Drosophila melanogaster: one gene and its partners. The protein of the gene in region 1 interacts with the protein of each later gene in a pairwise test. Each region holds a gene or a part of one and is shown in the gene's direction. Other genes may lie near its edges.

Region 1 (5,622 bases):
GTGCGTTTCCGCCGGACACGGTGACGGTGCTCGCCAGCTGCCGTGTCTGGGAGGCTAATCCTCGACAGAAGCACGTCCTCGTGCTCAACGGAAATCGCCATTCAAAAATTACGGGGGTTGGCCCGCTCACATGCCGCCAAATGTGGCACGGCAGCAGCTTTGTTTACTTTTCATTTCCTTCAAGCAGATGCCACATGCTCCTCATTCCGGTCGTTCGATGGGTAAATAAACGGCGGGTTCTGGTTTGGGATTTCCCGCATCTCTGGGGGTCGCATTTTTTCGTCACTGGCGGACTAATTTGCAAGACAATTAGAAGGTCTCTGGCCGAACCAGACGACGGTCGCTAATGAAAGCGCGCGATAAGAAAACTTAACAAATGTCAAATGGCCGAAAGGAACGATGGAGATTGCAAGTCGGAGGTTTAAGCGCCGCCGGGCCACGCTGTCTGCGCTGAAAAGTAAAGTAAATGTTTACTTGGGAAATCTGAAATTTGCATAATTTGCCAAAGAAGCAAGGAGGAGACTGTCTGCCACCGATAAAGTCGCAGTAATATTCATGGCTTTCTTGCCGGGATGGATGACAAAGTTTTGGGCCAACGATGCCATCGTTGGATTGTGTCACATGTGCCCCTCTGACCAGCGAAAGATAATGTCCGGAAAGTGTCAAACTGGACGCCGGTTTGACCATCGGCCTGCCAGGATGTCGTCGATGCCGGCTAGCAGGTGTCAGGTGCTCTACCGAGTCCTGTCAGCTGATTCCTTTGGTCAGGCTCAACAGGATGCCACGTGCTCATACCACAGTTGTTGCTGGCTTGTATCGCAGTTCTGCAGCCGAGAGCGAACCGAGGAAAATTGCGATACAAGGAGCACTAACTTTCGCTCTCGGTGAGCGGCTCTTCGTGACTTGTATCGCATTTTCGCCGCCAGCCTGTTGTTGTATTGCTTCTCGCCCGCAAAACAACTCGTAAACAAAGAGCAGAGGCGTCGATTTACCAGGGGGTTTTCACCGGAACTGATCTTTTTCGAACCTTTATACGCGTAAATCGTCCGCCATTTTGTCATTTCTGTGAAATACTAAAGCTCTGGAGCGACTATATACTCTTGTTCGATGGCGCCTCCCCTTTGGATACATAAGGCTTTGTGACTTTTACATGACCAGCGTTCAGACTCCGCCTCTGTGTCGTACATGCAGGCTGCGAGTGCATTGGTATTGGTGAGAATCCTTGCAGCATGCGGAGAGTTGAGAGAGCTCACGAAAACGTGGTGCTGCTCCTCGGTGGTGGATGCAGCCGAAGGACTTCAACGAATTCGGAAAGTGCGCTACACTTAGTAGAATATAAACTTGTTAATAGGTAAGAAACATAAAATACTAGTAGATGGTAAGCCAAAAATCCTTTAATGGCTAGAGATTTTAATTAGGTATTTGTTTTAGTTCAAAGATGCACGCGAATACCAAATCAATTACTTAAAATATTTGATAATTAAAAATGTTTTTAAAATCACTTAATATTATTCGAAAAAGTATCTCGATTTCGTATGCTGGTGCAAAATCATATTCTCGCCTTGAGCTGTAAATAATTAAGGAACTCCCAGAGTGTGTCCGTATGACAAAGTGCAGCTCATCAGGCAACTTAACCCGCTGCCACTCAGAACACGGGCGCACTGAAGAGCCATCAAAACAGAGATACTCGTGAGGCACTTGGCCAGGAGCAAGGCAGCAGGACGATGGAGTTGGTGATGAGCCGGCCTCGTTCAGCAGATGGTCATACTCGCACCTTTGCGTCCTGGTGGTGGATGTCCTTGGCTCTCTCTCTCTCTCCTTCTATCTAGCTCTCTCTATGAATATGTGCAAATTAGCATATCAAATGCCATAAATGGCGCTAAGGCAGATAGCCGTGTGTTAGTGACTGTGTGTGTGAGCCACTCTCCATTGTTACCCATACGCCACGTTGCACGAGCGAATGAGCGCACGAAGGGCGGTGCAAAAAGGACGAGGGGTGGGTGCACCTGCAGCTGTGTGTGTGTGTGCGTGTGATTTAGTTGCATGCGATAATGTCAACCACAGAGAAGAGCCGTTCGCCTTTATTCCGCTGCTTGGGTTGGCTCGCCTTACGTACCCTGTATTGGTGGCACACGTGTGTGTGTGTGTGTGTGTGTGATGGGTCGCCTTCTTCTTCTTTTTTTCGGTGGTGGTGCAGCGCTGCCACTTCAAAAGCTACTGAAACTGCTGGACGCCGACTTTGGCGACTGGGCTCTTCAGTGTCAATTCGTCGACACGAGGCGCTGCTTTTCGCTCAGAACTAATCGTTAATGTCTTGGAAAGGATATCCTTCCTGACTTCCCGGTTTTCACGGCTACCACGTGCGCGTCCGCTTACTCGTTTTTCCCATACTCATCCTGATTTGTGTTCCTGCCTCTCCGAGTCGCGAGTTTTGTTGTGCCGAAGTATAAAAATTCGATACAAGCCATCGAAAAGTGGGCCATTCGGGCGGTGTCCTGCCAGGACCTGCACTAGTGTAAGTGAGCACTGCATTTTGGCGGAAGAGAGGGAGAGTGTGAGTAGAAGGCAGTCGCTCTCTTTATTGTGCTACGTGTTCTGACCTTGTTTACATTTTTTTTTAGTAGCCGCAAATGACAACAGCGGTTCAAAGGGTGCGCATGTGTACAAGAAAACAGATCCTTAAGTCAGATAAATATCTTGTGGGATTCTGAGATGCTACACTCCTTTTTGAGATCTTTTTCACGAGAATCCAGAAATAAACTTTTTTTAATTCCTTCAATGCATTGAACAAATATATAGAAAACTTCTGTCGTCGTGCTATTACTTATATAAATCAACTAAAAATTTACATTAAATTTTTTGTTAATTTTTTTAATTAAGGGAATACTTGGTAATTTTCCAGAAATTTCGAACTGAAATGTATTAAAAAGGAATTATTCTAACAAGCCCTCTTCACTGAAGTGTATTTTAATTACTTTAACGTAACCCTTACTACAATATTTCAAAATTCAAATGGTAGCTCAATGGAATTTGGAAAGAATTTCCAATTTTCCGTTCCGTTCTAATGCATTTATAATCAGCCGAGGATTACACATTTAAATGCCAGATTTAAATCACAACCCTTCCCTCAAAAGCCCAACCACATAATTTATGTAAAAACTTTATAATCCAGGAGAGGTTTTTTGTTGCAATGGCGCTTCATTAATTTATGAATATCAAATTGCATTTTGACATTTGCCAACAAAAACTATTTAAAACTTGTCCCGGCCTGTGCCCGGCGCACAATAGCCTTGGTCCCTGTCCCAGGACCTTTTCCAGGACCCCCATCCTGGCCATTTCTTCGCGTCCCCTGCCATTGGCGATTCGGTTTGATTGAAGCACCCGCATGTACAGAACATTTTAAATATTTACAAAGATATTTCAAAAAACGCTTTTGGCATGTTTTGTTTTTGTACCCAGTTCCTTTTATAATTGTTGTTGCTGTTCTGCTGCCTGTTGTTGGTCTGTTTGTGTGTGTGTGTCCAGAGGTCCTCTGAGTTTTCCCCCCCTGTTGGTCGAGTGTTTTGCTCACTTTTCGGTCGCTGGGAAGAAAAAGGGAAAACGAACTTCAAATGTGGCATGAGGGCGGCTCTTGAGTTTGTGTGTGTGTGCGTGTGTGTGAATGTGTGTTTGTGGGCGGAGCACTTGAGGGCGCGTGTGTCCTTTTAGGAAAGTGTCAAAAACCGTTGGTCAAAAAACCGTATGGCAATTATTCAACACAATTGAATATGAAGTGCGGCGATGGCAAGGGCGAGCATGTGGGGCGCAAAACAAAAAAAAATTGCAGCGCTGGGCAAATAATGAAAAATACACCCACATCAGTATTTTTCGGCTGTCTGCACTCAGGCGCACACACACCCACCCACCCACTCACACATTTGCACCCTTTTCATGTCCTGCTGCTCCTGCCGCCGTTGCCGTTGTTGTTGCGCAGTTGCTGCCGCCTGGCAATTTTTCGGTGATAAAATATTTAAATTTAATTAAGGCCACCGACGAGCAACACGATTGCCGGGGCCAGCGGCCAAAAGGGAAGATGAAGTGGTGCCGGTCCTGGCCGGACCTTTGACCCTGCATTCCCGTTCCCAGGAAACGAGGGGATACATACGGGGCTGGGGGCTTTGGACTGGGGTTCCACGTCCTTTTTGCGCCTTTTGCATTTGCGTATGGTGCGTTTTGCAGGCTTACGGCTCTGTTGGCCGGCAAGAAATTCATTAAAAATTTTTGCTTTGATGCTACCAAATTCTTTTTGTAAGTTTCTTTGTACTTCCAGCTTTGTACATCTCACGGACAGCACAGGGCCACAAAACATACTTTCAAAGGACCTCGGCGGTCGGTCTGTGTCCTTGCCAGTGATTATGTGCTCGGACTAAACCCCTTTCGGTTTTTGTAATTAAGCTGCGAGAGCCACAATAGTTGCATATGCACGCGTTTCTTCCCAGATATTGTGCACACAAATTGAACACGATTACAGCTGGAAATTGTTGGCCAAAAAGCAAACTTTCCATATGCTAGCAACTTAATCGCCGGCAAGAAAAATCAGAAAGTTGCTGTCTTGCTTGTCTAAACCCTGAAACTAAACTATTCCGGCTCTGCCACCAAACTTTTGATCTTGAGTTGTGCAAATATTTTTCATTATGCGGGCCAAGTATTTATGGAATTATGGAAATTTGTTTTTAAGATATTTGTTTCCGTTCTACGCAACATGGAAAGTTAAAACCTGTCAGTTTCAAGAGCGGATTTCGGGACATAATCTGGTTCGATTCGGAGTCTGTTTGTTGTTTCTAAACAACAACAACCGAGCTATAGCCATTATGTTGATTGTTTATTTTCAATAAATGTAAATGCATAAATGCATATTTTTTACTCACTATGTCCTATGGTTTACGAAATTGAACTTCTTCCTAGATCAATACTAACTGTTCACATCGTTGACCGATTGCCAGGACTCAGGATTAACCCCCGTATTCATTTCAGACCTGCAATTTTAGAAGTCCTCTGTCAAGTACCCCCATCGACTTCTGATTGATACTGTACGTATGTTGTAAAATGGGGATTTATGGCCTCCAGCATGCAGTTTGACAATTAACCATGGCCATTGCCAACTGGCTGAGGCGAATGCAAAGCTTCCAGCTCAGAAATTTGGCTACAGGCAGTTGCTACTATGGCTGGACACGTGCACCTGTTTTGTCACATCTAATATTCCATTGTTTGGTCTGTGGCAAGGACTCGTTGCTGGCCAAAATGCGTTTTGGAACATTCCAAGAAGCGAAGCCAACGGAGTCAACAATGCTCTATGGACAGAGGCATGCAAATTGGCCAGGAAAAGGGAACGGAATGAGAGCTGGCCAGAAGGAAAAAGGGCACAGGCCCAGCCAATTTTTCTTGCATTTGCCTTCGAGTTTTTCGGTTTTTCCCGTGTTATTGTTACCCCTGCCCGTCCTGTTTGTCCAAGTTGCCATTTCAAGCGTATTGCAATGAAAAGCAAACTTTCCATCGCACACGCAGTTCGGGTTAGGCATTCGGTCTTCTGTTTTTGGTCTCTGGGCTGTTGGGCTGCTTCTCTGCTGGACTCAACAGGCGAAC
Region 2 (3,949 bases), on another chromosome or scaffold:
CAGCTACTTGAATGTTTGCTGTTCCCAGCCAAAACAGAATGCAACTGCTAACATATTTGACCCAAGTCGAAGTCCCCCACCCCCCTCGAGACGCTTCGCCTCCTTGAAGTCCGACTGTGGTATGCGTTTGTTTGCAAACTTGATGAACTATGCTATGCACTGGCCTCTTTGTCTTCCCGCTTTACCCGCTGCCCTTTTCTAGTTACCAGCTCGCCAACCCAGCTGCCCTGGCCCATCAGTCTCCCATCCGGCATAGTTGGCATCACATAATTTGGAATGACCCAAGGTCAGGCGTTGAAATATGAACTCAGTTGATCACTTACAGCGCTTAAGACACGAAAAACCAGAGGAATTCCAGCATAATTTATATTGAGACAAATTTCTTTGCACAAGAAGTGCACAGTGTGTAGTCATAAATAATAGTATCGGTTTAAATAACTTCAATTTTATTGCAATTTAACTACTATATAGTTAAAGTAAGAACCTTGAATATTAAAATGTGCTGGATTTTTCTTTCAGTGCACCAAAGCTATGTGCTGTAATTTTAATTTTCCCACCCAGCATTTCGGTTAATCTTCGCTGTGTTTGTATATTTTTTTCTTTTTTTTGCGCACTTGTGTCGCACTTATGTATCATCATTTGTTTGGCTCTGATTTAATACTAGCAATGACACAATGTTGACGCCGGCCGAGGACAGGCAATTTAACTACGTTGTCGCCACTGCAGCGCGTCAAGGACGTGGGCATGACAGTCGGATGGTCACCCGGCCTTACAGTCATCCAACCATCCAACCATCCAAGCATCCAGCTATCCTGCCATCCGGCCAACGCCTCATCATCGCCCCTCAGTCGTCATTCCGTGTCCCATTAGGCGTGGGCCTTTGTCTTTGCTATCATTATCAACACCCTGCCATGTTGCGTTCTTTTATTTTTCTCTCAGCTTACTGCTTATTCTTCATATTCGCAGGCACAGTTAAAAATAAAATGCGGCCAACGTTGCGTATACGCAATATCAGCATTGAATATTAAGCATACGCAATGTTGAAACATTTAATTCCTTATTGTCAACTAGAACTATAAAGTAATAATTTATACTGTACATTTGTTATATATGTATATATTTTTAGTATGAATTTTCTTTCACTGCATCTGGTTGGTTTATGAGACATTTTGTTGTTGCTTATTTTGCTTTCGCCTTCGTTTTCACTCAGTTCAAGTGTTTTGCATTTTATGCTTGGCACAAGAATCAAGTGGAATGTGAATGGCCAAGAGGGTGAGAACCTTAAAAATACCGTATTTAAATGCCAATCATGTGTGAATCAAAACGTGTTAGATGGGCTATAAGATCAAGTTGAAAGTTAAACACGAAATAGCATATAATTGCTTATATTTGCCAAAATGTTCAATTACTTTAATCGAATTTAATGCAGTTTTATAATTGTTTTATAGTTAGCAAAGTAATTAGATGCACAATGTTTTATTTCTATTTTATGGTACCAAGTCTTTAATACCCATTTAATACCCAGTGTGTAAATAAACGTTTGTTGCCGCGTCTTCGTCATTATCATCTGTGCTGCATCACGACAGTTGGCGTCCTTTTTCAAAAATTAAACACAACGCTGGCCATGCCACGCCCCTCGGTCGCCCACCGCCCCCATTTTCCGACAAGGCTAAACCAAAAAAAAAAAATCATAGAAATAGGAATCAAGACTCAAGAGCAAAAAGATGAAATGAAAATAAAAAGAAATGTCATTTATCACAATATAAAATTGTATGCTAAATAACACGGAATGACCTGAATTAGAAGCACAAAAACCTTTATGAACAATCTTATGTCAGGTTAATAAATCAAATATTTTACGATGATGTACATATATACTATGGTAACTTATAATTTGCTATTCAAAATATTTAGAAAATATATTTACTCTTAGGCATTTTATGGAAGAGCTAAACCTAAAATATGTGCCAAGGTAAAACAATCAATTTAATATCGTATGTATTTTCATGGCCAACTGCAATCGGTCGAAAAAAAATTTCCAAAAATTTCCAATCAACATATCCATGAAATTAAATGTCAAGCCGAAAAATCGAGGTACCCCAGCCGGAGCTCCAGATTATCAGTTATATTTTAGATCCCAAACAGTAAACACCGTTCAGCGGAGCAAAATTTTGTACAACTTTTATTTGGTCAAAAAAAAAAAAATCGAAAGAAAAACTGTTTCTTTTTCACCACTTTCCCAAATTATTTGTATTTAGGATTTACTCAACCGCAACTCACAATATGTCGAATTCGTTTTCGTACTGGAATGGCCAGCCGTTGAATGCTCCCGTTTATCCGCAGATGGGTGACTTCATGCAGCACTCTGCCGCTGGAGCAGCCGCTCCACCACCACTATCAGCAACAGCAGCAGCACCAGGATTAGGATCAGCCGGCGGACTAGGAGGTTGGCCTAGCCAGGGCGCAGCTCAGGCACACTCCATGCTACCATACGCCGGAGGAGCCGGTGGCATGCCGGCTGCCATGCCGGGTGCCATGCCGGGCGTCATGCCGGGTGCCATGTCGGGTGCCATGCCGGGTGCCATGCCGGGTGCCATGTCGTGTGGCATGCCCATTACAGGAGCCCAGCATATAGTGCCGCCACCCGTGGACCGTTCAATATATGGAGACATACCCGGACGAAATGAACCGTGCATCGACAATGGCGAAGCCTTCTGCGCCTACAACGGCATGGACATGAGCATGAACTACGGCGGAGGCAGTGCATCCAAGGGTGGCTTCTGGTAGGATCGATGCCACGAACAATGACAGCACGAGCATCTTCACCGAACGACTAAAGTGAATCGCATATGGGCCATATACATACACAATTAGTTTTCGAACCAAACGTCCGTTTTGTGCAGCTCAAACGACTCGTACTTGGCGAAAATGTATAAAATAAATGTCATAAATCCATAAGATATGAAAATAATCAGTTGGCACAAATCGGTGGGTGGGTTAATTGCATTAATAAATACAGAGATGAGTTAACGTGCGGCAAATTGAATGTGAGAAGAGCGTTGTAAACTCAAATCGCATATATTTTATATGCTAATTACTAAATAGGCAAAATGTGATGTATGGCAAAGGTTACTATTGTTATTTTCACTCGGCAGTCAAATATTGAAGTTTTATTTTTTATACAAATAATTAAAGCACAAATCAAGCTTACATTGTAAATATTTCGATTTTTCTATTTAGTTTAAACAAATCAAATTTAAATAACTAGGTGCAAACCATTTATAAGATTAATAGACCCAATTTTCCACCGTATGATTATCTTGAGCACTTCGTATAAATATATGTTCTTGAGATTCGCATTGTAAAGTACAAAAAACAATACAAGTTTCATCGTTTCTAACTATGCAAATACAACGCCTGCCGCCCCTTTTGTCGTATCACAGGGCGTGGCTGATTGTCACAGTGATGAGATGGCAATTTCTCAACACGCTAACGAGATGCACTTACAAAAAAATGGGTATGCCCATTGGGAAATTATTCTTAAAAAAAGATTCGATGATTTATACTAAAATTACATGAATTTAGCATAATCGTAATGTTACCAAGTCATTATATATTTATTCTATTGTTTGGCTCGAACTTTTCTCTCAGTGTACTAGGCTAGAACTCGTTTGGAGAGCGCACGCAACCATCGCAGCGATATATAAAGTGGATCTTCTGGCCGAGATTCGAGTAATCATCGTTGAAATCGCAATCGAAAATCATGGAACGCTGGCAGAATCGCGTGGCCGTCGTCACTGGCGCCAGTTCGGGCATCGGATCGGCCATAGCCAAGGATCTGGTCCTAGCCGGAATGACGGTGGTGGGTCTGGCCCGACGTGTCGATCGCGTCAAGGAGCTGCAGAGGGAGCTGCCGGCGGAGAAGCGCGGCAAACTTTTTGCCCTCTAC
Region 3 (5,686 bases), on another chromosome or scaffold:
TACATATAAATGTTATATACAGGTTGGTAAGAGATCTGTGTTGTTTATAAACACGCGCATGATGGGCATGTTTAGAGGCAAAGCTTTTCTATGAAAGCGAAAAAAAACGCGATGTCGTCATTTTTAGTTTTGTCCAGGCGAAAAGTCAATTTAGAACAGTAGCTCAAATGTGTAGGTGTGTGTGCGGGCTCACACACACACATACACGAATGCGGATGGGAGAAATTTAATGGGTGAGCTAGCGCACACCTACAAAATATCGTGCTGATTTAATCACTTTCTTCGTTTTCACAAACGAACGTCAACTTCTCGCACACCAACACACACACACACACACCTAGTCGCACACACCCACACACACCAACCCCTGTTTATTCAGGATGAGCCCTATAGCTTTTTAGCCATATAGCCATATAGCCCCATAGCCAGTGGCCATTAAATGTTGCCTCAAATGACGGGCAAGCCTTTTCTTTGTTGTTCGCTTTCGTGACCAACCGCGTTTCAAGGAGACCTCCACTCCACTCCACTCCATATACCCGTAGACCATGGCGTCGGGATCTGAATGGAATGGCCCGTGCGAAAGTGGGTGAGTTTCGGAAAACAAAAGTCACGCAGTCAAACACGCAATTCGCGGAGCCTTAGCCCAAATTTGATCAAACATAATGCCTTCTGTATTTTGGTTAGTTGCTAATTGGAAAAAATTATTAAAACTAATCCAACTATCTTTGAGTTGTTTCAATAGTCCTTGCTTATCTAAGGATCAACACGAGCTCGCTTGATTTAGCTTAATTTGTTGCCTACTTTTTGGCGCTCAAAAACATGGAACCAAACTTACAAGGATAAAGTTGCTTAGATACTGAAACAAAAATTATGTTTTTTTAGATTATAATAAGAATTTCTTCACTTCCACAAGATCTACGTTACGAATTTCACTTTTGGTGAATCAGATCTTTTATACTTTTGTTTCGCTCATCATCAGCCTCAACATTCTTTTGTTCATTTTCACTGTGTCAATCGGAAAAGGCAAACGCATTGTTTTCAGAATATATGTACATTCATGTTGGTATGTAATTTTTGAGGAATTCTTTCGAATGATTATTTGGTGCAAGTCGTAACTGATATTAGAAGGTTGTGGCTGCAACACCAGAAGTATGATTTTGAATATGAAATTGCTTCGAGCATTCCGAAAAAGTGGATTTTATACGAGTAATTGTGGGTGTGCCAGAGGACACTTACCATTTGTTTAGGGGAATTGTGTCAAATGGTCCCTGTGGCTTTGCACATCAGTGAGTTGATAGAAAAATTCAAGAGCAACTTACTCGAAGTCCTATAGAATTAAGCTGACCACTTACACAATTTTGTTTTTGAAGAAGTTCTTTACAAAATTAAAAAGAAGATGAATTGCTAAATTTCGTATGTCATAAAACCATTGCGATACTAATTTCTGGCCTAATTTGTAAAATCCTTTTTATTTTACAAAAATGCTAATACAGTCATGTTGGAATGTGTTGCAAGCAGGCAATCGCATGTTGCATGTTGCAGTTCCATTTCGAGTGCAACCACAACCAAGTCGCCCGACTTTTTATTTGAACGCGAAAGGTGAATTTTGGATTAAGGCCTTAAACCACAAAAATTAATCAAATTAATGGTTAATTCAATGGTTTTGGCAACAATTAAATGCTTTACCTAAGTAGGTCTTAATTGGTGCACTTCGAAATAGACATTCTAATAAAACGCGTAATTACTCGTCAAAGTATTTTATTTTAGTAATTGAATTATTTATTTATTTATTTTGCTGTTTGGCGCATGAGACAAGATTTTTAATTATAAGAGTTCCATAAACTTGATTTTAAATTATTTTAGAAGAAATACTGCTAGAAAAAAAAAACTACATTTCATGTAATTTATTGACAACTTACCATTGCATCAAACAAGTTACAAATTCACCACTATACAGTGGACCAAAAATGCATTTTATGGGTAAGAATAAAACTGTTTGGGAATAATATATTTATTATAATGTTAAAGTTTTTAAATTTGTTTTACCATATTGCAAAACCGGCTCGAGATTTTCGTAAATTGAATCAAACATTTAAACACCTGATCCTACCAAACATTTTAAAATTAAAAATGCGGTTTGCCCCACTGTGCAGCGGAAAATTCACCACGACGGCGAACGGCAACCCAAGTTTGTTATGTTTGCGCCAAGTTTTCTGATTTCATTCGGTGTTTTGGACTCGGCGAGACTGGAAGTTGATGCTGCCGCGTGAATGCCATCGTCGGTCAGGTATTAAAACGTGACACTTCTAATTCGCGTGTGATTCCCCCGAGTTTGCAGTCAATTTGTGATCAGAAAACATTTAAAATGCGTGGTTTACTTTGTGAAAAGATCTAATAACACTATGAAACTTAAATCAATGTGCAAGTGACGGTTATATAAATTAATTATATTAATTTAAAGCATAAATAATGCGAAGAGCCTGCAAATAAAGTACACTAAAAATACTCAAGGAAACATAATTTTTGTCGACATAACTCGAACAACATAATAGTGAATAATCAACGGCGCCGACATTTTGGCTGAAGAATACAAATTTTCATAAACGACAAACGATAATTTTCCATAACCAATAATATTATGACACATTTTATTGGATTTTAGTGGCTGAAACTATGGAACTTTGAATGAAATGATTCAAATAATTGGGCATATGTTAGAATTCATTGCTATATAAACCGATTATTATGCGCTTATTAATAGGAAAAGCAAAACTAAAAGAAACATTCTCCATCGGGTCGCAAAACGGTCCATTAAAATTATTATGTTGTGCTCTATGAAATTCTATGAGCCATTTTAGTTTTGTATTTTCCTTACCAACAGTTTAGAAACGAATTTACCTTCTGCTGGCGCAGATATACAAATTTTCTTATAAATATAGAAGTATCTCTCACTAAATTTGTTGTTCTTGCTTTTAAGCCCATGATCTATTGTCATCCTGGTGATTTTGAGATCTGGGGACTTACACATGAAACGTTCACACGAGCGCATATATAGGATGATTTTTTTTTTTTAAATATATTTTTTCTTCCCATTGTCTACACATAATATAGTTATGCAAGCATTTTGTTTGAGAAATGTACTAAAATCACTCGAAAAGATACACAATTGTGGCTGATAAAATGGAACTAAGACAAAAGACGACTGATGACAAAAATGAATGTGGCTATATCTCTATGTCTCTATGTACATACATTCCTGCGTCTTAAGGCACCGAAAATCTCGAATAATTCTTTGAAATTCTGGTATCTTGTCGATACAGCCCGAGTGGACCTAGTAATATACAAAAACTTAATTTAGCACAAGCTGCTAGCGCAAATGAAAATGTTTACACGTGCGCATTTGTGCCATTTGTCTCAGTAGGTGGTGAGGTATATATGCACGCTATATATACATATGTACATATATATATACCTGATTCTAAACATTCTAAATCGTGAGCCGATATCCTCCTAATGCCTGGTCTCGTATACGTATTATTCCATCCATTACACATCCAAACAGTCCAATATATAGGCACCCCCATACGCATTTCTTCTTGCCAGAATTCTGACAGACGCATGTACGGTTCCGAATGTAGGTTTATACGTATTCTAGAGGATATATTAGACTTTGTCTCGTGCAATTAGAGTAGCCAAGTAGCAGATGGCCCCCGCGTGTATTCCAAATGTATTTTCAAAGTATCCATTATCGTTTGGCTTGTATTTAGCAAAAGGAATCTACAACTCTCATGCGAATAGAAATTCTTTGATCCAATAATGCTCTTGTGTATGTATGGCCAATGAAAATATTATTGTTAAAAAAATATTAACGCGCACACGATAGACAAAGTTAATGCAGTGCAAAAGCTAATCAACATATTGTTCCGACTTTTGTGTGTGTGTGTGTGTGTGTGCGATGGGCTATTTTTTAACGCCAATCCGCTAATAGAAACCACAAATTAACGCATTTCGTGGAGCCTAATATGCAAGCTTTGGTATAGGTGTTCATAAACACTATAAAAAATAAATAAGTCGTTTGTTTAGGTTTTTAATTCGCATTATACAAGCCCGAAAATCGCTTCGACTTTTCAAATAAAACAGTCGAAACAGCATATGTACGGCCAAGACAATTTGTAAACACGTACAAGTACACAAAACGATTTGTAATTGACTTTAAGAGCCATAATGCTATCGCAATCGAAGTAAACAACAGATGATCGTATAACTCGGGAATGTATCCGTGAAGTTTTCTATCCGCAGCGATATTAATGTCATTTTCGATCAACAACAAAAAAAAACCCATCCAATCTGCAGTTTCCTCTCAGTGAAGTGAATAATTGCCCAGGATCGTGTCAACAATGCAGAATTCTCCGGCTCCGTGTGCCTGGTACTTGCCCTGGTCCCTGGCCGCCCAGCAGCACCAGCAAAAGATGCTGCAAATGCAGTCGCCGTTTCTGGACAAGATGGGCGCCACATCGGTGGGCGGCATCTTCGCTGGCCAGCCGCAGATGCAGCAACAATTGTCGCCCAATACGGCAGCAGCACCGCCGGCAAACTATCAGCAGCCCGCTTTGCATCCAAGCGCCGCACCAGGCGCACCACACTTCCACATGGGATCCCCGTATAGCCATCTGGCACCGCAGCTCCTCAACGCCGGACAGCTGAACCAGAACGCACTGATGCACTCCGCCATGTTCTCTTCCCTGCCACTTGGTGCGTACTATGCACCCGCCGCCGGCGCAGGTCACTCGGCCTTTGGTGGCGTTCCCCTGACCACGGCTGCCCAGCAATCTCTATTGGCCGCCACCGGAGGAGCAACTGCTGGCCATTTGGCCAACCAGCAGACGACGGCTCAAGTGCCCGTCCAGGTGCCCGTGCAAATGGCCCAACGGACAGCTCCGGCCGCCTGCTCCATGGTCCAGCCACTTAACTGCCTGCCGCACCAGGAACTGAATCACCTGTCGTCCATCAATCTCAACCTGCTGCGCAGTCCGGCGCCTCCGCTCCCAGCCATTCAGGTCTTGCCAAGTGCCGAGGTGCCGATTAATAAGAAGGTGAGTTGCAGTTTGCTTAGTACTTGTAATGATAGGCACTATTCGTACTTGAGCGAAGGCTAGTACTTAAATTACGTAGACAAGTGCACTGAGGCAAAATATCAGTAACTAACTTAGTGGTACAATAATATACGAAAGATAGTCTCACATGAAACTATTATCTTAATGATGGAAATATGTTACGTTAAAGGGTGGAGCAGTTTCATTGCCTTTTTTGTTTTCTTGATCATTCATAATTGGTATATTGAATACTTCATTGTATAATATATACACGTTTCTTAATTAAGAACAAGAAACAGAAATCTTCTTAATGGATAAAACAATTGATGGATTACTGCTTAGCTGCTTTTGTTTAATCAAGACATAAACACAAAAAGTTCTTCAGTTCCTCATGTAACTATAAAAAATTAGTTATGCAAATAAATAGAAAACCAAATCACTTGTGATTGCTTGTGCCTAATTAATTCTTTGCTTATACAAAATATGGCAGTGATTTACACTTTCACAAAATAATGTAAACTAAGTACACTCGATTTCCTTTCTATAATCCACAATTAAATCGCAATCCCGCGAGTGAGCAAATAAAAACCTAA

What was found.
Region 2: the proteins of trv (region 1) and CG1394 interact in a two-hybrid assay, tested with the Drosophila melanogaster proteins (one large-scale study listed by BioGRID).
Region 3: the proteins of trv (region 1) and RluA-1 interact in a two-hybrid assay, tested with the Drosophila melanogaster proteins (one large-scale study listed by BioGRID).

Annotation. Positions count from the first base shown.
Region 1 is NT_033777.3:28,024,356-28,029,977, forward strand, and holds the start of trv (trivet), read left to right. Parts: upstream 1-2,259; 5' UTR 2,260-2,515; intron 2,516-5,622.
Region 2 is NC_004354.4:11,168,844-11,172,792, reverse strand, and holds CG1394 (uncharacterized protein), read left to right. Parts: upstream 1-2,114; 5' UTR 2,115-2,283; coding exon 2,284-2,787; 3' UTR 2,788-2,982; downstream 2,983-3,949. Other genes in the region: Antdh (antennal dehydrogenase), read left to right, coding at 3,764-3,949.
Region 3 is NT_033779.5:10,470,883-10,476,568, reverse strand, and holds the start of RluA-1 (RluA pseudouridine synthase 1), read left to right. Parts: upstream 1-2,219; 5' UTR 2,220-2,287; exon of another isoform or gene 2,288-2,421; intron 2,422-4,083; exon of another isoform or gene 4,084-4,242; 5' UTR 4,243-4,397; coding exon 4,398-5,093; intron 5,094-5,686.